6 linked regions of the Ovis aries genome follow. The protein of the gene in region 2 purifies or fractionates together with the protein of the main gene of each other region. This does not show direct contact. Links are inferred from orthologs where the notes say so. Each region holds a gene or a part of one and is shown on either strand. Other genes may lie near its edges.

Evidence for each region.
Region 1: the proteins of DNAJA2 (region 2) and PLD2 purify together in Homo sapiens (affinity purification with mass spectrometry; 3 studies listed by BioGRID and IntAct, with this or other methods). This does not show direct contact. The link is inferred for Ovis aries from reciprocal best matches to the Homo sapiens genes DNAJA2 and PLD2.
Region 3: the proteins of DNAJA2 (region 2) and WDR76 purify together in Homo sapiens (affinity purification with mass spectrometry; 3 studies listed by BioGRID and IntAct, with this or other methods). This does not show direct contact. The link is inferred for Ovis aries from reciprocal best matches to the Homo sapiens genes DNAJA2 and WDR76.
Region 4: the proteins of DNAJA2 (region 2) and NUDC purify together in Homo sapiens (affinity purification with mass spectrometry; 4 studies listed by BioGRID and IntAct, with this or other methods). This does not show direct contact. The link is inferred for Ovis aries from reciprocal best matches to the Homo sapiens genes DNAJA2 and NUDC.
Region 5: the proteins of DNAJA2 (region 2) and LLGL1 purify together in Homo sapiens (co-immunoprecipitation; 3 studies listed by BioGRID and IntAct, with this or other methods). This does not show direct contact. The link is inferred for Ovis aries from reciprocal best matches to the Homo sapiens genes DNAJA2 and LLGL1.
Region 6: the proteins of DNAJA2 (region 2) and ENDOG purify together in Homo sapiens (affinity purification with mass spectrometry; 3 studies listed by BioGRID and IntAct, with this or other methods). This does not show direct contact. The link is inferred for Ovis aries from reciprocal best matches to the Homo sapiens genes DNAJA2 and ENDOG.

The regions. Positions count from the first base shown.
Region 1 is NC_056064.1:26,424,029-26,427,528, reverse strand, and holds part of PLD2 (phospholipase D2), read left to right. Parts: intron 1-46; coding exon 47-130; intron 131-272; coding exon 273-351; intron 352-1,123; coding exon 1,124-1,234; intron 1,235-1,432; coding exon 1,433-1,603; intron 1,604-1,970; coding exon 1,971-2,097; intron 2,098-2,297; coding exon 2,298-2,416; intron 2,417-2,503; coding exon 2,504-2,617; intron 2,618-2,770; coding exon 2,771-2,875; intron 2,876-3,085; coding exon 3,086-3,174; intron 3,175-3,293; coding exon 3,294-3,407; intron 3,408-3,500.
Region 2 is NC_056067.1:14,928,216-14,931,715, reverse strand, and holds part of DNAJA2 (dnaJ homolog subfamily A member 2), read left to right. Parts: intron 1-1,474; coding exon 1,475-1,555; intron 1,556-1,787; coding exon 1,788-1,921; intron 1,922-3,463; coding exon 3,464-3,500. UniProt on the Homo sapiens protein: Co-chaperone of Hsc70. Stimulates ATP hydrolysis and the folding of unfolded proteins mediated by HSPA1A/B (in vitro).
Region 3 is NC_056071.1:53,288,717-53,292,216, reverse strand, and holds part of WDR76 (WD repeat-containing protein 76), read right to left. Parts: exon of another isoform or gene 3,222-3,500; intron 1,910-3,221; coding exon 1,783-1,909; intron 416-1,782; coding exon 314-415; intron 227-313; coding exon 183-226; intron 1-182. UniProt on the Homo sapiens protein: Specifically binds 5-hydroxymethylcytosine (5hmC), suggesting that it acts as a specific reader of 5hmC.
Region 4 is NC_056055.1:240,000,959-240,003,158, forward strand, and holds the end of NUDC (nuclear migration protein nudC), read right to left. Parts: intron 1,500-2,200; coding exon 1,416-1,499; intron 1,323-1,415; coding exon 1,204-1,322; intron 778-1,203; coding exon 726-777; 3' UTR 501-725; downstream 1-500. UniProt on the Homo sapiens protein: Plays a role in neurogenesis and neuronal migration. Necessary for correct formation of mitotic spindles and chromosome separation during mitosis. Necessary for cytokinesis and cell proliferation.
Region 5 is NC_056064.1:34,155,518-34,159,017, reverse strand, and holds part of LLGL1 (lethal(2) giant larvae protein homolog 1), read left to right. Parts: intron 1-301; coding exon 302-399; intron 400-2,191; coding exon 2,192-2,273; intron 2,274-2,363; coding exon 2,364-2,494; intron 2,495-3,500. UniProt on the Homo sapiens protein: Cortical cytoskeleton protein found in a complex involved in maintaining cell polarity and epithelial integrity. Involved in the regulation of mitotic spindle orientation, proliferation, differentiation and tissue organization of neuroepithelial cells.
Region 6 is NC_056056.1:7,612,685-7,616,835, forward strand, and holds the start of ENDOG (endonuclease G, mitochondrial), read right to left. Parts: upstream 2,801-4,151; 5' UTR 2,769-2,800; coding exon 2,262-2,768; intron 1,110-2,261; coding exon 1,000-1,109; intron 1-999. UniProt on the Homo sapiens protein: Endonuclease that preferentially catalyzes the cleavage of double-stranded 5-hydroxymethylcytosine (5hmC)-modified DNA.

The sequences.
Region 1 (3,500 bases), on a different chromosome or scaffold from region 2:
TCTGGCTTCTGACTTCCCTGATCTCCTTGGCTTGGCCTCCCCCCAGGTTTGTGAATGGGGCAGGTTACTTTGCTGCTGTGGCAGATGCCATCCTGCGAGCTCAAGAAGAGATTTTCATCACAGACTGGTGGTAAGTGGGAGAAGAACCTGAGCAAGAAAGTGTGGGTTAGTACCTGCAACAGATCAGCTTATGGGTCAGAAAAGGAGTGGAAGGGGAGGAGTGGCTGTTGTTGGGAGCTTAGCTTACCCTCACCTGCTGCCCTGAATCCCAGGTTGAGTCCTGAGATTTACCTGAAGCGTCCAGCCCATTCAGATGACTGGAGACTGGACGTTATGCTCAAGAAGAAGGCGGTGAGGAGAATGGTCTGGCTGGAGGGGAGGTATGGTCAAGGGGTGGCTTGTGGGTGGAGATTGGTTGGAAGAGACTATAGCATGGCGGGGGGTAGGGGGGGAAGGTAAGGAATCTAAAACTTGAGGTGGAGGAAATGTACCCATCCTGGTTCAGTCTCACAGAAATCACCTCTTCCACTTCCCTGGGGAGAACTCCCTTAGAGAAGAAGACCAACCTCCCTGTTCTTGCCCTTCCTCTCCTTGATGTAGACTTTCCTCCCAATACCCTATACACTCAATTCTGTTATGGGGGATGGACATATCTGTCTCTCTCATTGGGTGGATGAATACCACTAGCTGCAGTACAAGGCACAGTGTCTGCTATGTTGGGAGCATCCAGAGATGGTGATGGATGGGAGGAAAGATATGCGGATGATGGAGAGTGTGTGGGTGAGGGGATGGATAGATGATGGAAAGGGAGATAGAAGGCTATGAGGTTGGGAAGGTAGATCCAAGGAGAGTGGTAAATAGATAGATGAGTGACAGATGGTAGATAAGGGATGAGTAAATTGTTGGGAAGATGGATGGCTAGATAATGCTAGGTAGGTGGGTAGATGTGTGGATGGATGAGTGAGTGAGCAGATAGATGATATTCAATCTAAGTTTGCTGTAAGCATCAAAACAGGGTGTCAGTGGCATAGCATTGAGGATCTCTGGGTGGAGAGGAGGAACATCCAGGAACCCTGAGGGTGGGAAAGGGTCATTAGGATCTGATTCCCTCACTGACCACCAGGAGGAGGGTGTCCGAGTGTCTGTACTGCTGTTCAAGGAAGTGGAGTTGGCCTTGGCCATCAACAGTGGCTACAGCAAGAGGGTACTGATGCTGCTGCACCCCAACATAAAGGTGACTCAGGCCCCAGAGACCCCTCCCTTCTGGCCCTCCTCACTACACATCCCCCCACCCCCCCCCCCCCAGCCACCAACCCTCCTTGTCCTTGAACGTCTCATCTTTCCATCTTCCTGTTCCCTGCCTCCTCCAAACGCTGCCTCTGGCTTCTCCCACCTACGCCCACACTCATGAACTCCCCCATACCTGCTCCAGGTGATGCGCCACCCAGACCAGGTGACACTGTGGGCCCATCATGAGAAGCTCCTGGTGGTAGACCAAGTAGTGGCCTTCCTGGGTGGGCTGGACCTCGCCTACGGCCGCTGGGATGACCTACACTACAGACTGACTGATCTGGGGGATTCCTCTGAGTCAGCTGCCCCCCAGGTAATCCCCCAAGGCCTTCCGGAGCACACCCCCCCAACTCAACTAATGTAAATCCATACCCCTTCCCAGCTGCAGCCTTCCTCTCCAGTCATAGCCCTCATTCAAAGTTCCTGTGCCTTTCTGGGACCCCAACAACCTGCTTTGAATATACTGACTCAGTTGCCTCCCCATGACCTCTACCCATTTCTCTAGGGATTTCAAATGCATCTGAAGGGGAGGGCCAGGGAATCAAACTCTCTCTGTTTCATTCTTCCTCTGTGTGTCTCTCTGTCTTCCCGTCTTCCAGTGCTCCTTTCTTCTCTTTGGCCTGGCTCTGTGTGACCCATGACCTCTCCTTGCCCCTGGCTTGGGTGTGTTCCCCCTACAGCCTCCCACCTCACGCTCAGACCTTCCAGCTACCCCCGACCTCACTCACAACCAACTCTTCTGGCTGGGCAAGGACTACAGCAATCTGATCACTAAAGATTGGGTGCAGCTGGATCGGCCTTTTGATGGTAGGGGGTCCACCTTCTTCAAAGTCCCTAAGAGCTGGGAGCCGGGGCAGAGGGCGGGCCTGGGTCTGAGGATGGGATGAACCGGGTCTTAATGCCACCTCTTCTCCGGTCAGCACCTCCTCCTCCCTGACCCACGTGTTCCCAAGGGACCGTCCCTGACCTCTTCCCTGACTCTCCTGGGACATTCTCCCTCCCCCCAGATTTCATTGACAGGGAGACTATGCCACGGATGCCATGGCGGGACATTGGGGTGGCGGTCCACGGCTCACCCGCCCGGGACCTTGCCCGGCACTTCATCCAGCGCTGGAATTTCACCAAGGTGCCTGATCCCTCCGAGCCTGGAGGGTGGGCGGGAGCCAGGGGCAGCTAGCCATCTCCCGCTGATTCTGCCACCCCTCCGCCTTAGACTACCAAGGCCAAGTACAAGATACCCATGTACCCCTACCTGCTGCCCAAATCCACCAGCACCGCAAACCAGCTCCCTTTCACGCTTTCCGGAGGGCAGTGCGCCACTGTGCAGGTGAGGCTCGGAATTCAGCCGGCCCTCTCCCCGCTCCCTTCAGCGCAACCTCGCTTCAGCACTCTCCCTGACGGAGAGCGCCCTCCCGCCCCCGCCCCCGAACCCCTTCCTCTCCTGGACTCAGGAGGCACATCCTATCCGTCGTTCCCGCAGGTCTTGCGGTCAGTGGACCGCTGGTCAGCGGGCACCCTGGAGAACTCCATTCTCAATGCTTATCTGCACACCATCAGAGAGAGCCGGCACTTCCTCTACATTGAGGTCTGTCGGAGTGAGGGTGGAGCAGAGAAACTTAGGATATCCTGTCAGTGGGCTCAGTCGTTTAGGGCTGGCATAGCTGGACCTGGAGAACTTGGTGAAGCCTGGACCCAGGGCCGGGAGCCTGGGGAGGGGGATGGCGACATGGAGCTGAGGGCAGGAACTGCTGACGGCGGCCGGACTGCTGACGTCTGTCATTCGTCCCTGCTCCAGAATCAGTTCTTCATTAGCTGCTCAGATGGGCGGACGGTGCTGAACAAGGTGGGCGATGAGATTGTGGACAGAATCCTGAAGGCCCACAAGTAAGGCGGACCAGCTTGGAACCTGGGGGTTATGGGCGTGTTTTAAGACTAACCAGAGGGATGAGGGGAGGGGTGGGGCTTGGGAGACGGGTCACACCGCTGACTCCGCCCCTCTCCAGACAGGGGCAGTGCTTCCGAGTCTACGTGCTTTTGCCCCTCCTCCCTGGATTCGAGGGTGACATCTCCACAGGTGGTGGTAACTCCATCCAGGCCATTCTGCACTTCACTTACAGGTGACCACCGCCTCGCCCTTCCCACCCTAACCCCTGCCAGACTCTGCCCCTCCATGGCCCCATCCTGATCCCTTCTTGCTGGACTGTTTTCTG
Region 2 (3,500 bases):
TTTCCTATAATGAATAGTGCTGCTGTATCTTTATATACAGCTTTGTCTCATTGGTAGAGATTCCTGGGGAGGTATCAGTGTTTTGAGGCTGATAAATAAATACAACTATATTGTCTTTAGAGGATGTGTCAGTTTAGCTCCACTGGTGGAGAGTGCCAGCTTCACTAGACCATTACCCACATTTTTCTTTCTTTGCCATGTTTATTGAAATAACAATTTTTCTTGCTGACCTCTTATGTAATGGTGTTGCATACTAATTGCAATTTAATATGTAAGGCAAAGAAGACCTACCTATCATGTAAATGGTTGGTTAAAAGTTCTTAGGAAGAGGAGGATAAAAGGCTGATGGAACCAAGTACTTTGGTCTAAGGTCTAGATATGCCGTAGTTTAGAAGTGTTGGTAATTTTTTGTTCTTAAGTGCTTTATTCTTAACACTGTTTAGAATGGATAAAAATTTTAGCTTCGAATGCTGCAAAATAATGTAGGTGCTTTGCAAGGTAGTTTTAACCTTTTTGTTCCTTTATTTAATTAAAATATTTTTGTTCCTTTGTTTTAAAGTAAATTAAGCAACTTCAGTTTCACTTTACTACTAAAGATTTAAAAATACTATGAGAAGGGTAAAACCAAGTTAAATGCAAGCTGTTTCCAAGTTGTAAATGAATATTTTTGAGACTTTGATATAGATTTTTTTTGAGGTTTGTTTGAAAATGAATAGTCCTGCAGTTCAGATATGTTGTGTGAATAAAAGCAAGTTGGGGTTTATCAATTGGGATTTTTAATAGGCTTTTTATCTAGACCATTTGGGGGTCATGGACCCCTTTGAAATTTTTGTAAAAGTTGCTCAAATTTTGCTTATAATTCTCTGGGTGTTTCAGACATTGAAAGCTTGTAGGCTTTCTATTTGGAAACCTATTCTCTGTTACAGTGTAATAAAGCCAGGTTTTTGTTTTTTGTTTTTCTTTTCTTTAAGACATACCCAATCTGAGTGTCTCCCAGAAATTGTAATATAACTTTGTAGCCTTTCTGAACAGAGGCTTACAGTAGAGCATGAACTCCGGAGCTAGATTGCATGTGTGATCTTGGGCAAGTTACTTAACCTCTCTGTGCCTCAGTTTTGTCCTCTAAGATGAGGATAATAATTTTGCTTCATTCAAAGGGTTGGATTAGGTGAAGGTTTTGTCTAAGGCTAGAAGAAGGTGTGATGTTTTGAATTTGTGTAGTTATCAGCTTTATCAGAAAATACAGCACAGTCAATTATTGGCCTGATCCTTTACATTCCGGCTTTAAGTACCACCTGTATTTATGGCCATAAACAATTTGAGCTACAAAATAAAATCTCACTCAGTTGACTTAATATAAGATGTTCTTGAATTCTTTGTTTAAAAGGTTATAGTGAAATTAGCTGTATCAGCTAATCCTTTCTTGTATTTAAGACAAATTGGCAAAATTTGAATCTAATTCTTTTCTCCACAGAGTATCTTTAGAAGACCTGTATAATGGCAAGACAACCAAACTACAACTTAGCAAGAATGTACTCTGTAGTGCTTGCAGTGGGTGAGTGTGTTTCCTGGTTATGAAATAAATGTCATCTGTTGTTTGAGTCACATATTGAGTCTATATCAAATAAAAACTATTCATGATTTCAAAGTGACTACCCAACCCAGAACAGTTTCTGATACCTCTGAAAGTTGGTTAAAAGGGGGTTGAAGATGAAAGTAAAAAGCACAATTCCCATTTTTGATGACCTAGAGGGGGAAAATCTAATTTATACTTTTGCTTGCTTTAGCCAAGGTGGGAAGTCTGGAGCTGTTCAGAAGTGTAGTGCTTGTCGGGGTCGAGGTGTGCGCATCATGATCAGACAGCTGGCTCCAGGGATGGTACAGCAGATGCAGTCTGTGTGTTCTGACTGTAATGGAGAAGGTATGCATGCCAGTGTTTCTCTGCCTTTCTGTTGGGGTGGATTGGGAATGCAGAAATTGGAGAGGCTTACAGTTTTTCTTTTTCAACGTGTTTTTATATTCATCATATTGTAAAAGGTAGTTATTTTTAAAAATGCAAAAATATTATTTCCTTTTGCATAGGCCCAGTGAACACCAATAAACAGTAAATTTATATTACGTTGAGTGGAATGTTAGTCTTTTTCCAAAAAGATGGGCAAAGTTTTTTGTCCTTTTGTATTTTATTGTTATTTACTTATCCTTTATGTTTTAAAATGTAAAAGGGAGACAGCAAATTGTTTAGTTCTCATTCTGATAAGTGGAGTATTTTACTGTAAACTTTAGTTAGCTTTTGAGGATAGATCATTATAATTGAAGCTTATTTTACAGAAGTAAATATTTTAGGTTTTTGTAGGTTAATGGTTTTTGAAACTGCTACTCTTCTACCCTTTTAGCACTTTTATAGCCAGAGATAATATGTAAATAAGTGGGCATGACTGTGTTCTGGATAAACAGTATTTACAGAAACAAAGGCATGCCCAGCTTGGCCTGCAAGCCTTAGTTTGCCGGCCCAGTTCTAGAGCAGTGCTGCCCAAAAGAAGTTCTCTGTGCTGGAAAGGTTCTATGTATGTAATGGCTACTGTAGTAGCCACTAGCCACCTGGGTGTGGCTGAGGAACTGAGCTCTTAATTATTTTAAACTTAAATAACCTCAAGTGGCTAATGACTGCTATATTGGACAGTTCTAGAACACCCTTTTCCAAATTGCTTCTGAAAGTGACAAGATAATTTTGAGAAGCCACATACCATATTTCCCTCCTGAAGAGTCTTAATGCATTTTACCTTATTAAAGTTGCTGACATTTCCCACTCAAGAAGTTGGAGTTGATTGAAATCTTTTCCCATGTGCCATTACCATTTTAAGGAACTGGTGCTTTGCAGAACATACCTTGCAGAAGCAGTGTTCCTAAAGTCATTTATGTTACCTAAGCATTAAAGTGTGCCAATAATCAGCCATTATAAATTGATGGTATCTTTTTCATGATATACTATTGTATGACTTCAGTTTTATTTTATTATGCCACTGATCAAATATTTCAGAATACATGGAAGAAAAAACTGTTGGAGTCATAAAGGATGTTTAAATTTTTATTTGGGTTGTCACTCCATTGTCAAATTTAAATGAAACTAAGACAAAAAGTGAAGCATTTGTAGAAGTTCTAGTGTCTGACCACCCGTTTTGTTTGCTTGATCCTCAGGCTTTGTTTTAACTTTAGGAAGTAGTGTCAGGAGGTAAGATAATGTTATTTAAGATATTTTATACTCTGGAATAGAGTAGCTGGGTCCTTTAGGTAATCTGCAGTAAGATGTGAGTTTTGTTCCTAAGAATGTTCATGAAAAGTTCAGGTAGCAGTTTAAAGAAGTACAGGAAATTTATTTAGTGAATAAAGGCGTTATCAGGACCTGTCTTACTTAAGAGTGCAACATAGTACCCTTGCTGGAAGTTTGAATGACCTCTTTTTCCAGGAGAGGTAATTAATGAAAAGGACCGCTGTAAAAAATG
Region 3 (3,500 bases), on a different chromosome or scaffold from region 2:
GTCCCAGTGGTTTTGTATGCAGCAATATTTGAAAGGAAATACACAAAGTCAACAGTTGTTAGGGTAGAAACATGATGGATAATTCTTTTCACCTCATTTTCAAATTTCCGCCAATAGTATATAGTCTTTATAATTTAAAGATCTCAGGAAATGCAAAACAAAGGCAAGGGATTTTAACTCACCTTTTAATGTTAGATAATTCTTTCTTAGTGTTTTTACTTCTTGTCTGAAACAACGGGAGAAACCAAAGTACTAAATTAACATACGTACTGAAATTTGCTTAAAAGCTTGGATTTACCCTCCCAAGTGATACCTTGCTCATTTCTGCCCAAGTCTGCAAAAATCCTTTGAATAGTTCATTGTCATCATCTCGATTTTCAGGAGTCATTTCTAAAGGCCCAGGAGGTATCAAAGGCTGTTATAAAAAATAGGAAAAGAAAAAAAACACTTGGTTGTCACTCTGCCTTAGAATTCAAGCTTGAGGTTTCTCTTTACTTTCAATATCCACTAAGGGGTGACATATAGTTAGCAATCAAAAACAGTTGTTCAGTGAATGAATGCCAAGTATCCTGTAAAGTAAAAACATGTATTATCTCATTTAATTCCCTTAACAATCCAGTGAATGAGATATCACATTTCAAAGACAGTGGAATGAAACAGAGAAGTTAATTTGTCCAAAGTTACACTGCCCATAGAGTTGCTTGGAATTGATTCAGATCAGTTCAATTTCATTACTCAAGTTATTACTCTGTATCATTTTTTATATCAGGGATTATAACCCACAAGTCATGAAATCATTTTAATATGTTATAACCAACAGTGCGCTTTATTGAATGAGAAAAGAATAGACCAGAAAATACAAAAGTACATCATATGTAGTAAGGGTTAAGTATCATTTCACAAAAGGTTTGTTTCAGTTTTGTGTGTGTGTGTCTGTGTGTGTGTGTGTGTGCGCACCCATGCGTGCACACGGAGTGGATTCAATGTAAGTTATTTCTTATCATGGATGCATAGAGGCTTCAAAAAATGAGCTACTCTCTCCGTAGCAACTTAATTTCCAATTAGCTCTCAAAGCACCATGCTAATGAGTACTATCTTCCAAGTTATAATTAAGCACTTAGATATAAAGTATTTAAAAAGTAGATGCTCCTGAATAAAAAATAATCTTACTCAGACAATAAATTTGGTAAATAAAACTCTTTCCAGTCACTGACAGCATAAATTAAACCACAATATAGGACCTCCATCATTATTATCACATATTATTATTAATATTACCATTTATTGCTTACTAAGTAATATAATACATTCAATATAATGTAAGAACCTTTATCCGTCATACCACCCCTTGTGAGAGGTTTCTGTTATTGTTGCTGTTTTAAAAATAGGGAACCTGGGGCTCAGAATGGCTAAGCAATTTACCCACAATCCGACATAGGTAAGTCTGCAGAAGTATATAATCCGGTCTTTCATGAGTTTGAAATCTTACTCATTAAACCATATTAGTTAGTTCAGTCTCTCAGTCGTGTCCGACTCTTTGTGACCCCATGAACTGCAGCACGCCAGGCCTCCCTGTCCATCACCAACTCCCGGAGTCCACCCAAACCCATGTCCATTGAGTTGGTGATGCCATCCAACCATATTAAACCATATAACAGTCAAGTATTAAATTAATGAAGTACAAATTAAACATACTTTACTGACTTTTTACTCTATTTTCAAACACTTCAAATTTTTCAGTATTTTATTGATTTAGTATATTATATTTGCACTCTTTCTTACATTTTCTTCTACTTCTAATTCGGTCTGGGTTGGGGCTGCTGGCAATGGGACTCCTGAAGGATCAACTTTTAGTAATCGCATTGACCTTCTACATCCAGTTCCATTTTCTTTTTTCTTGGGTTTCTTCCTGAGGAGTGGAAGGAAAATCATGTTATACTCATAAATGAGTTATATGGATTTATTACTACCAAGGAGAAAACTTCTAGTAGTGTATCTCACACATATAGTCAAACACTGCAAAGATATATATACATACCTACACTAATTTTAATTTAAAGTTTGGAAACATGTAACTATTCATTATGGGGAGGTAAGGGATATTAAATTAAGACATACATATTTAGTCAACTATTAAGCAGCCATAAAAAAGAATGAAATAGATCTTTATGTGCAACGACATGAACCCTAAGATATAAGATGCAAAAGAGAAGGTACAGTAGATGTTGAATATGGTTACATTTGCTTTTTCACAAAATACATACATGTACATTTGTAACTGGTGAGATTACCAATGGAAGAATATCCATGAAAATATTAACAGTGGATTACTCTAGGGAGAAGGGTGGAGAACTAAGGTCCAAACTTACAAAAAAAAAAAAAAAAAAGACAACTATTTCATTGCATTTGCTTCCATATAGTCTACCTTGTAAAATCATAGATACCCTACTTTTTATTTATTATTTTTTCATTTAAAAAAGTAGTTCAGAGGCTTCCATGGTGACTCAGTGGTGGGGAATACACATGCCAGTGCAGGGACGGAGGTTCAATCCCTGGTTTGGGAAGATTCCACCTGCTATGCAACAACCAAGCCTGTGTCCTGCAGCTATTAAAGCTCACAGCCTAGAGCCTGTTAACTGCAATTACTGAACTCATGAACCAAGACAACTGAACTCATGCACTCCAAAATACATGCTCTGTAACAAGAGAAAAAAAAAAAAAAAACCTGTGCACAACAAAGACTCAGCACGGCCAATAAATGAATAAATAAATAAAATTAAAATTAAGCAATTATGAAATAAAAACAATGTGCTTTTGGACTTCCCTAGAGGTACAGTGGATAAGAATTCCTCCTGACAACACAGGGTATACGGGTTGGATCCCTGCTCAAGGGAGATTTCACACCACAGAGAAAGAAACTAAGCCTGTGTGCCACAACTACTGAGCCCACGTGCCGCAACTACTGGAGCCTGCTTGCCAAAAGTCTAGGCTCCACAACAAGAGAAGCCACCACAAACAGAAGTGTACACACCACAGCGAAGAACAGACCCTACTCACAGCAACTGGAGAAAAGCCTGCCCAGCAACAAAGACCCAGCACAGCCAGAAGTAAATAGACTAAATAAAACTATGAAAAAATAATTATCACCAGCCAAAGTTAATTTTTAAAAACTGTTCAGAACTACCCTGGTGCCTTTTTGCCCGACATCTTAGCGAGGCAGCAGTGGTTGCAGCTGCTCTCCGGGCTTCGCTATGCCGCCCAAGGACGACAAGAAGAAAGATGCCGGAAAGTCGGCCAAGAAAGACAAAGATCCAGTGAACAAATCTGGAGGCAAGGCCAAAAAGCAGAAGTGGTCTAAAGGCAAAGTTCAGGACAAGCTCAATAACCTAGTCTTGTTTGACAAAGCAACATATGACAAACTCTGTAAAAAAAGTTCCCAACTATAAGCTTGTAACTCCAGGTGTGGTCTCTGAGAGACTGAAGACTCGTGGTTCCCTGGC
Region 4 (2,200 bases), on a different chromosome or scaffold from region 2:
GTCAAAGACACACAACAGGCTCCTTTGGGCTTCCCCCTGCCTTCCCAGCCAGATCCCCACCACACACAAAGCCCATCTGAGGCCTAGGCGGTGCCCCTAGGCTTTGCTGCTTGCTCTCTGCCTCTGGGAAGTAGTGTATAGTTTTAGAAACACTTGCTCCAGGACTAAAGGACAGACCCAGTGCAGTGGGAAATTGTCTCAGAGATGAAAATGGAAATCAAGTCAGGCTGGTCTTAAGTGCTGCTGAGTCATGGGCCCCTTGGAGAATCTGACATTGTTTGGTGCCTATAACCAACCCCTTTTGTTCAAAATCATACACAGACTAAAAGCCTTGTCGGGATCCTCTATTTAAGTAATGAGAAACTGAGCCCAGGGAGAGGCAAAGACTTGCCCTAGATCACACAGCAGAGCCTGGGTGAGCAGTCAAGCCCCCAGGTCACAGCAGCAGTCCTAAGAGGCCTGAACCCCAGAGAAAGGCCAGAGGGAAGAGAAGACGTGAGTGGAATTGGGTAAATGGTTTTAATGTGTAACAGCAGGCCAGCTGAGGAGGACAAGACCCCCCCCCAAGGCCCCAGCCCTTCTCCCATGATGGCCTGGGACCTGTGTGTGCCAGCCAGCCCCGTGCCTGCCCTGGCCCTGTGGCCCACCAGTCCCAGGGAGGGTGGGAGAGGAAAGTGGGGAGCCGGGAGCTCAGCCTAGAGAGTTCAGGGGAGCAAACACAGGGGCTAGTTGAATCTGGCCTTGGAAAAGTCCATCTCTGGATGCTGATCCATGAACCTGCAGAGACAAAGCAGGAAGGTGAGACAGGCCATCCGTCTCCCTAAATTTGTCCCTTTCTCTCAGCCTCCAACATGAGGTCTCATCTGTTTACAGCTCTCAGCAACCCGGAGCCATGCCAGACAGGAGTGGGGCCCCCAAGGTCTCCCCAAGGCTGGATGCTGAGGTGCCAACACCGGCACTGCTTTTTCTGTTGGAAACTGTGACCGCCTGTTACCCTTTCCTATCCTGTGGTGGCCTTGCCCTCAAGATGACCTCAGTAAGTGATTAGGGGAGGCAAGCCAAGGCTATAAAGCCATAAACTTGGCTGGCTCATCCTGGAAGGGGCGGGGCAGCTCCTGTGTTCTGCTCAGTAAACACTTGCCACTGTCACCCAGGTCCCAGCCGTAGACACCTCCCCCAAACCCCCATCTCTGCATCGCTCACTTCTTCAGAATCTCCTGTTTCTTCTGCTCATCGGAGGTAGGCAGCCCCATAGACTTCTGTCTCTGGTCGTACATCATCTTCTCCACCATGCTACGGGTCTCACTGTCCAGGTCTGACAGCTGGGGGCAGACAGTGACAGGGTGGGTGAAGGCCTGGGGCCACCCAGGCCCCAAACCTCCCGACCGCAGCTCCTCCAAGCAGCCTGGGCTCACCTTGGAGTTCTCGGGGTTTATCTTCTTAGTATTGATCTCGGGGTCACTGGATACCAAGCGGCTCCACCACTCCATCTTGTTAATCTGAGAGGAAGAGGAGGGCCACCCGGGGACGGGTGGTGGCTCACTCTGGACCCTGGTGACCACCCCCCAGCTCTTCCAGAACCAAACTCTCTCCCAGCCACATCCTGCATCAGGGACTTACAAGGCCTGAACTGGGACCTAGGGGCAGAGAGGCAAGACCTCTGCCCTCCCCGGTGGCTGGGGGAGACAGACACGGAGACAGTCAGCATGATAACGGAAAGAATAAAGTACAGAGGGAGATACTCATCAGGTGGAGGGAGAGGTTCGGATGACACACAGGGCTGGGCCTTAAACGACACGCGTGAACCACGTTAAAAAGCAGGGAAGGACATTCCAGGTGGGAGGAAATGCAAGGGCAAGGGCACAGAGGGGTGAGTGAGAGGCAGCCAAGGGGGTCAGGTAGGCTGGGCCAGGCAGTACATGCCATGGGACTCTTTCCTTGGACCCTGGCGCTTCACAGAGCCCATGTTCACTTACTGGGGTCTGCATCCCAGTTCTCTGAGAGGGGAGAACGCGGGCTTCCAGAGGGGCATAGCTTTCTACGTCTGGTTCACTGTTTTCCCTCCAGCACTTAGAACAGTCTCTGGCATGAGTAGGTGTTCAAGTATTTGCTGAACTGAATGCTTGTATTGATACAAACCTAATGGAGGGACTTCCCTGGTGGGTCCAGTGGTTAAGACTCTGAACTCCCAAGGCAGGGG
Region 5 (3,500 bases), on a different chromosome or scaffold from region 2:
GCAGAGCCTACCCTGTGGGGCAGCTGGGGTTCGCATCTGTACCCGCGCATCCTCCCTTGCGAGCCCCATTCTGTTTGTTGTCGTGGACCCAAGTGTCAAGTGGGATGGGTCTTGGCTGGGAAGGCCTGTGGTGGGGCCAGGGCTCAGGCCCTTCCTCACCCTCTGGAAGTTGGTCATCCATCTCGCAGCTGAGGACACTGAGGTCGGGGGGCCGGGCATGCAGCAGGGACAGAGTTGGAGACTGCCTTGGGTGGGCCTCGGGTGGGGGCTGTGCCTTGCAAACACCCCCACCTCCCTGCAGACCGTGGAGCATGGCTTCCCCAACCAGCCCAGTGCGCTGGCCTTTGACCCTGAGCTTCGTATCATGGCCATCGGCACCCGGTCTGGGGCCGTCAAGATGTATCCTTTGGGATTGTGGCTAATGTGCGGGGCGCTGGGCTGGGCCCCTGGTGGAGGTCGTGCAGCTGCTGCCCTGAGGCGGCGCCTCAGAGATGAAGGGGTCCACAGCTGCCCATCGCTGCAGCCAGTTACCTCGGCAACCCTCCCGTTGTCCCAGCAGCTGTGACTGGGGAGGTGGGCCGGGGCTGGCAGCACACGGTCCCCAGCAAGGGTGGCGGGAGGACCAGAGTCACAGCAGGCCTTACCCTTGAAACCGGGTGCACACGTGTGCCGGCCTGAAGACACGTATGTCCAGCCGAGGGCTGGGGGCAGTGCCAGGCTCGGCGTGGCGAGCGCAGCGCAGCCCCCACCTGGATGCTGGCCCCGCACAATGGGCCTGTGAGCCGCACAAAGGGCCATTTTCCTGAGAGCTCCAAGGGGAGGGGCGGGGCGGGGGAGGTTGGCAGCTGGATGCCTCCTTCCTGCTGTGGAGCAGCCCACCCCCACTGCAAGAGGTGAGTCCCCCAGGTGGGGCCCAGGTGCAGGGTCTGGCTGGCCACCACAGGGTAGGATGGGATCTCCCCATCCGGGACTCGGGGCACCGGTCGGGCAGTTGTGAGTTTGCCAGCTCCAGGGACCAAGTGGAGGGGCTGGGTCTAGGTGCCCCCTCCTCTTCCGTGGACACCGAGGCATCAGTGGGACAGGGAGGAGACGGTCCCCTGGTCGTCTGCACCAGGCTGCTGCCTGCCCAGGAGGCCCCTCCCTGCCTGCTGCTCCTGCCTCCAGCTGCTGCCTGCCTGTGGGAGCCGTGGTCCCATGGCCCCTTCTCCCTGGCACAGTGTGTCTCTGCAGGTGGTGGGGTCTTTCTAGTGCACCAGCCCCTCATGCTGACAAAGGATGGGCAGCCAGACGGCCTCAGAGGAGGACAAGCCCCCCGACCCCAGACCGCTCCTGCCCATGCCCTGGGTTAGGAAACTGGGGCTGCCCGCAGGGGCCATTCCACCCCCCAGTCTGGCCCATCTCCCTGGCGACCTGGTTCCCGCCCAGCACTCCTGCCCCTCTTTTGTCCCGTTGTCTGTGTTCTCCCGGCTCCAGCTCCAAGCAACGGCTCCTGCCTTGTCTCCCAGCAACGTTGCTGACCCCAGCCTAGTCCTCCCCCTTGGGGCCCCTCGGCCCGCCGTCCACAGTGAAGCCTGAGGTTGCTGGGACGCTGGCTCTCACACCGGGCACTTGTAGTCAGGCATCCACCTCTCCAAGTCCCTGGGGCCTCTCCCAACTCAGTGGGGGCTGCCAGCCCCACGAGGACATGAATTTCCTGGCCTGCAGCTGGCAGCGGCCTGTGGTTGTGGAGAGGCAGCCTGGACTCTGCTCTGTCCCCGGCTTCCTGGGCCTGGCATCTCTGCCCATGATGCCAATGTGCCAGGCCACCTCTTGCGCCCACAGACCCGTGAGGCTGACACAGGGCCATGAGCTGGGCCCAGGCCAGGTGTGCCGGGAGAACTTGCGTTCTTAGGTGTCCTGTGTCTGCCCCAGGAGGCAGGCGAGCAAGTCACTGGCCGGTTTTACAGATGAGGAAGGGAAAGCCATACGCAGCACTGACTTGCAGGACTGAATGGGTCTGCATCCTGAGTGCAGTGCTTCTTCCAGAGAGGAGCCCCCAAACCTGGGAGGGCCCCTGGACAGGGCTAGGTGACACCCCTCCCCGTGTCACCGGGGGCCTGATGCAGTGGTCCTGAGGAGGCGGGGCTAGGTGATCCCTGGTGTTGGTGTCCTGGCCTGTGCCTGCTTTCCACCCTTGACCCGTCACCCTCAGCTACGGTGCCCCTGGCGTGGAGTTCACGGGCCTGCACCGAGATGCGGCCACTGTCACCCAGATGCATTTCCTGCCTGGTCAGGTGAGCCTCGGCCCCGCTACCGGCCCCCAGAAACCCCCTGCCCCGTCCCCGACCCCAGTCAGCTTAGTCCTGGTCTTACTCACCCGCCAGGGTCGAGTCCTGACCCTGCTGGATGACGACAGCCTCCACCTGTGGGAGATTGTCCACCATGACGGCTGCGCCCACCTGGAAGAAGCCCTCCACTTCCAGGCACCCAGTTGGCCTGGCTTTGACGGCGCCAGGTACCAAGGGGCTTGGCCAGCTGTGGCTGCCAGATGTAGTGAGGGGCCTGTGAAGGTGCAGTGGGGACAGGAAGCTGCCCCAGGGCTGGGACTCGGGGTGGGGTGGTGCACGTCGGCCTGGGCCTGGGTCCAGAGAGCTGCTCGGTGGACTTTGTGGGCGTCCCAGGTGAGCCCATGGTCAGCAGGGAGGGTCTGTGCCCTGGCACTGCCGGGGCCCAGGAGGCCCTGGGTTGGGGAGGGTGTGTCCCAGAGCCTGGGGAGTGGCCCTGTGCCCCTGCAGTGAGGGGGGCATCTGGGGCAGGAACTGACCATAGCACCGGTCCTCTGAACCCTTAAACAGGGGCAGGACAATGGGCCCTACTGTGCAAGGAGGAGAGGGCAGGTCATAACAAGAAGGGTTTCCCTTGGTTGTGAAGTGCTGGCGGGACGCCCCGGGGGGCAACAGCATGGGCGTCAACGCTCAGGGGGAGAGGAAGGGGCCTTGTGGTTCCTGGCCCGCAAGCCCTTGTTGGAATGGCTGCAGCAAGTCTGACCAGGACACAAGATGCCCATCCAGCTCAGAAATAGGCTTGTCCTGCTTGGGCTTGGACCCAGTGTGGATCGGGGTGTTCCAGCTCTTGCAGGGGAGTGATCGGAGGCCCCCTCCAGGGTTAGGGAGATGTCTGAAGACATGGGGCTTCCTGGTGGGGCTTGGAGGCAGAGTCCTGGAGCTTGTGGTCCCTGCCTAGGCAGGAGCTGGTTCCTGCCGCCATCCCCTCTGGGTCGGGGGAAGAGCTCCAGGGCCTGTCTCCAAGACCTGGGGACCTATTTTTATCCCTCTCCCTGCCGACGTCCTGGTGAATAATTGAGTGAGCTGGCTATGGTGTCTGCAGCCACCACCGTGGCCTTCCTGGGCGCCAGCCCCCTGCATGACCAGGGCCCAGCAAGTCCAGAGGGGCTGTATTGAGCTGACAGTCACGGGCCCCCGTGCCCTCCCCAGCAAGTGTGCAGGCTCCCACCCTCACCT
Region 6 (4,151 bases), on a different chromosome or scaffold from region 2:
CATTTCAGCAGGCCAGAGGAGGCACTGGCTAATTAAAGTGTATCAGTGCCTCGGCAAGCCTGTGCTGAGTCCTTACTACGGTGACATCCACTATCCCACTGTCCCTTAAGCAACCATGTGGTAGATAACGGGTATTATCCCCATTTTAAGGAGAGGATGTTGAGGTTATTTGCCCAGGGCACCCAGAGACTGAGGCTTCGCTGGTGGCTCAGTGGTAAAGAATTCGCCTTGCAATGCAAAAGAATGCGGGTTAGATCCCTTGGTCGGGAAGATCCCTTGGAGAAGGGAATGGCAATTTCCCAGTATTCTTGCTTGGGAAATCCCATGGACAGAGGAGCCTGGCGGGCTACATCAAGTACCTCCTACAGTAAGTAGCCCACCAGGCTCCTCTATCCATTAGATCACAAGGGTCGGACACAACTGAGCGACTAAACAACAGCAAACCCAGAGACTAGGTGACAGGGCCTGGGTTCCGACCCCAGCAGAGCCAGCTGCTTGGCCACAGTCCCCTGCCCCACTCATCCCAGTCCTCAGCAGAAAAATCACCCAGCAAGCCCAGGGGAGCTCAGTCCCTTACATCTGGGAGGCCGGGCAAGCCGCACAAGGGCAAGAGTGAAGGCTTGGTTAGGAAGACACAGTTCAAAGCTGGCTCACAGTTCAAAGCTGGCTTCAAGAAGGGATGCCCCCAGCAGAGGAGACTGAAGGTGAGAACCCCGTGCAAGGGTTGCTATCTGGGCAGAACATGAGTTAGGTGGATGTGACAAGAGAGAACATAGAGGAACAAGGGCAGATTCAGGGCCTGGTACACACAGGCAGAGATGTGGGTACCCCCAAAGTCTCTGTAGAGTAGAATTGGGGAGCTCAAGGTAGGGGATGGGCAGACTTTCCCAGGAACCAGATGAATGGGGACCTAGCGGTGTTGACACAGAGCCTGGGGGGAGCCTGGTTGGGCTGACCGGGAGGTGCCGCTGTCCCCAGGCCCCCCAGCTCTAGCCTTACCTGGGTAGGAAGAGTGGCCCCGTGCAGACATAGACATTTTGGTAGGTGCGGGTCAGACTGCGGCTGTACTTTTCCAAGTTGTTCCAGGCATTCTGGTTGAGGTGGGGCACCTGGCAGGAGAGGTGGGCTTCAGTGAGACTGGCTGGGACACTTGTAGTCAGAGGGCTGCCGCAGGCTTAGGGGCAGGCACTAGCACAGAGCCAGAAGGTTCCAGCAGCGGAGTGGGGATGGGGACAAGCATACAGAGGAAAGGGAGGTTCATGGAAGGAGAGTCACTTGGCCCAAACAGAGCTCACAGAGGTGCTAGCTGCCCCCAACCCAGATTGGGAGATCTAGCATCCCAAGTCTCCAAGCTGTTTCTCAGCCCCAAAGAGCAGGATGAAAGGGCAAATCTCCCAGAGAGAAAGAGGCTTGCTCCTGCCCCAGGAGCTCATGGGAAGACCAGCTCTTTCAATCATCTCTCCCTTCCTTCTCCAAAGTCTGAACTGCAGAGCCCAGCAGGGAAGGTCAGAAATCTGACTCCACCACCTGAGCTCTCAGGTCCTCGGCACAGTGTCCAGTCAAATGGGTGGGGGTCTCTGCTCCTGGGTGAGCACGTCAGCTCAGAAGCTGGGACCTCACAAGTCTCACTCAGAGCCCCACCATTCATCTCCACATGGGTGTCAGGCCCTGGTGGGAACAGGGCTAGAGGAAGGTCGGCTAGTCCAGGGTGCACAGTGACTGCTCCTAACAGCCACTGCGGGCACCTATTTATCCTTTTACTCCTGGAGGGCAGGCAGGGTAGGGCGATGGATTAAAAAAAGCTCAGGGTCCCCTAGACAGACTGCCTAGGTCTCCTCCCACGGTGTGACCCTGGGTCGGTCACTTTGTCTCGCTGAGACTTTCCTCATTATAGCTCTTATTTACTAAACGCTTGCCAAGAACCAGGAAGCGTGCCCGGTACTTTTATGTATGTAGACCGTTATCTTCAGTTCCTCGGCTCTACTGCAAGAGGCAGGTGAATAACAGTTTCATCCTGATTTCAGGGAGGCGCCCAGGGCCCTCGGGTTAAGATCAGAGCGCAATGGGTGCTCAGCGCCCCACTGCTCCATCCCTCCCGCAGGCGGCGCGCGGTGCGTGTGGCCAGGCGCCTGACCTAGAGGGCGCACAACTCAGCACTCTCCCATTCTGCAAAGAGGAAAATCAAGGCTTAGAGGCGAGCACTGGCCTCGGGTTTCGCCGCCGGGGTGGGGGGTGGGGGCGGGGGGCGGCGTAGGCGCTACCTGGGGCGCGACGTTGCTCAGGTAGAAGGTGTCGTCCATTGCTTTCTGGCTCCAGCGGTGGTTGGCCGCGGCAGCAAGGTGGCCGCGGTCGAAGCCGCTGCCGCGGTAGTCGGCGTTGGTGGCGCGGTGGTACGCATGCACCGAGTCGTCCTCGTGGAAGTCGCAGGAGCTGCGGTCGCCGTCGCCGCGGAGCCCCTCGGGCCGCAGCTGCTCGACCACCCAGAGCGCGCCGCGGGTGCGCGGGTCGTAACACAGCACGTACGACGCGCGGCTCTTGAGCTGCGCCACCCCGGGCAGCCCATACTTGGCCAACTCGCCCGGGCCGCCACCCGCGGGAGCCCCGGGCACCGCGGGAAGCCCCGCCGCCGCCGCCACTGGCAGCACCGGCAGCCGGCTCAACAGCCCCGGCGTCGCCCGCGCGTCGGCCCACTGCCGCCGCCAGCCCTCGGCAGCTGCACCCAGCCCTGCGCCCAGGGCCACAGTCAAGCCTGCGCGAAGCAACTGCATGGTCGCGGATGGTGGCCGGGGCCCGCGACGCTGAAGGGACGCCGCGACCTCCGGCGTCCGACCTGAAGGCTCTTAAAGGGGCCGCACAGGCCTGCGGGGGCCTACCACGGGGATGGAGCGGAGCGGAGGCGTGAGATGGCGGAAAGTGCGCCCCTCCACTCACGAACGCTCCGAGGTAGTGTCCAGTCCACAGTTGCGGGTCGGTGCCCACCTAATTGAGGACCGGACTTCTTTGCCCCTTTAGGACGCGGAGTAGAGGGGAGGGGCGTGGCATCACCACCACGGCTCATGATTGGCCGTCTCGGAACCGGCTCCGCCCCACTCCGGCCCCCTCGGTCTCCACGGAGGTTCCCTCCTACTCCGCAAAGATCCCGGAAAAAAAAAAAAAAAAGTTCTTAGCTCCTAATTTACACGAATGAACTGGGAAAACAAATCAGGAATGCAAGCATCCCCTACCGTATTCCTTATGATAGAGGCCGGGGAATAAGATACTCAGAAACAGGGACTGGTTTTGGACATTTTTAGCACATCAGATAGAATATGTCATAAAAATATTTTAAAATCATACAGTAGCTTGCTCACCAGCTAAGGTAATGGTGGTGGTGGTGGGTGGGTGGGGGGGTGGAGACAATACACAAAACTCTGAATCAAGAAAATGACTATCAATGTTATCAAGTATCTAATAAAAATTACATCTGCAAAGAAAACACCAACACGTTACAAGTGATTTTCTGCAGACAGTGGACTATAAATGACTTGTTGAAGTTCAACTTTTTTCAAAGAACTTACTATGAAATCACAATGTAATACCTCTGCCCCATTGCATACTCTCCTCCCATCAGCTGTAAACTGCAGGTGCTTAAGAAGAGTTGAACAGGCTCTTTTGGACAAATTCCTAGCCTTTTCCTTTAATCACTCTAAGAACCTCCTGACTTTCTGCTCATTTTTTTTTTTCCTGTTCTGAGGTCTCAATGGTTTCAGCCCATCACAGAACCAACACCTACTGCAAAGAACACGATTTATTAAAGACAACTTGTCATCAACAGCATTGATTCAAAAGAACAAAACAGATGAAAAAACAAAAGCAGACTAACATTCTGACCCTTGGAGTGAGACCTGAATTCATTCAGCTTATTCTGTACATGTCCAAAGTCCTGGGGGAGCTTCCAAGTAGGAAGCCTGGGAGTCTCTGGCTCTTGGGGCCTCCCTTGAGAGTCTGGGGTGGGGTGAGGGGCGGGGTGGGGGGGATTGCCAAGGGCAGGTCCTCCCACTGGGGGAGATTGCCAAGGGCAGGTCCTCCCACTGGGGGAGCTCAGTCTAACCTGGGTATGGTCCCTGTGCTCTTTTGACCTTTCTCACAAGGCCAAGGAGAGGGCACTGGAC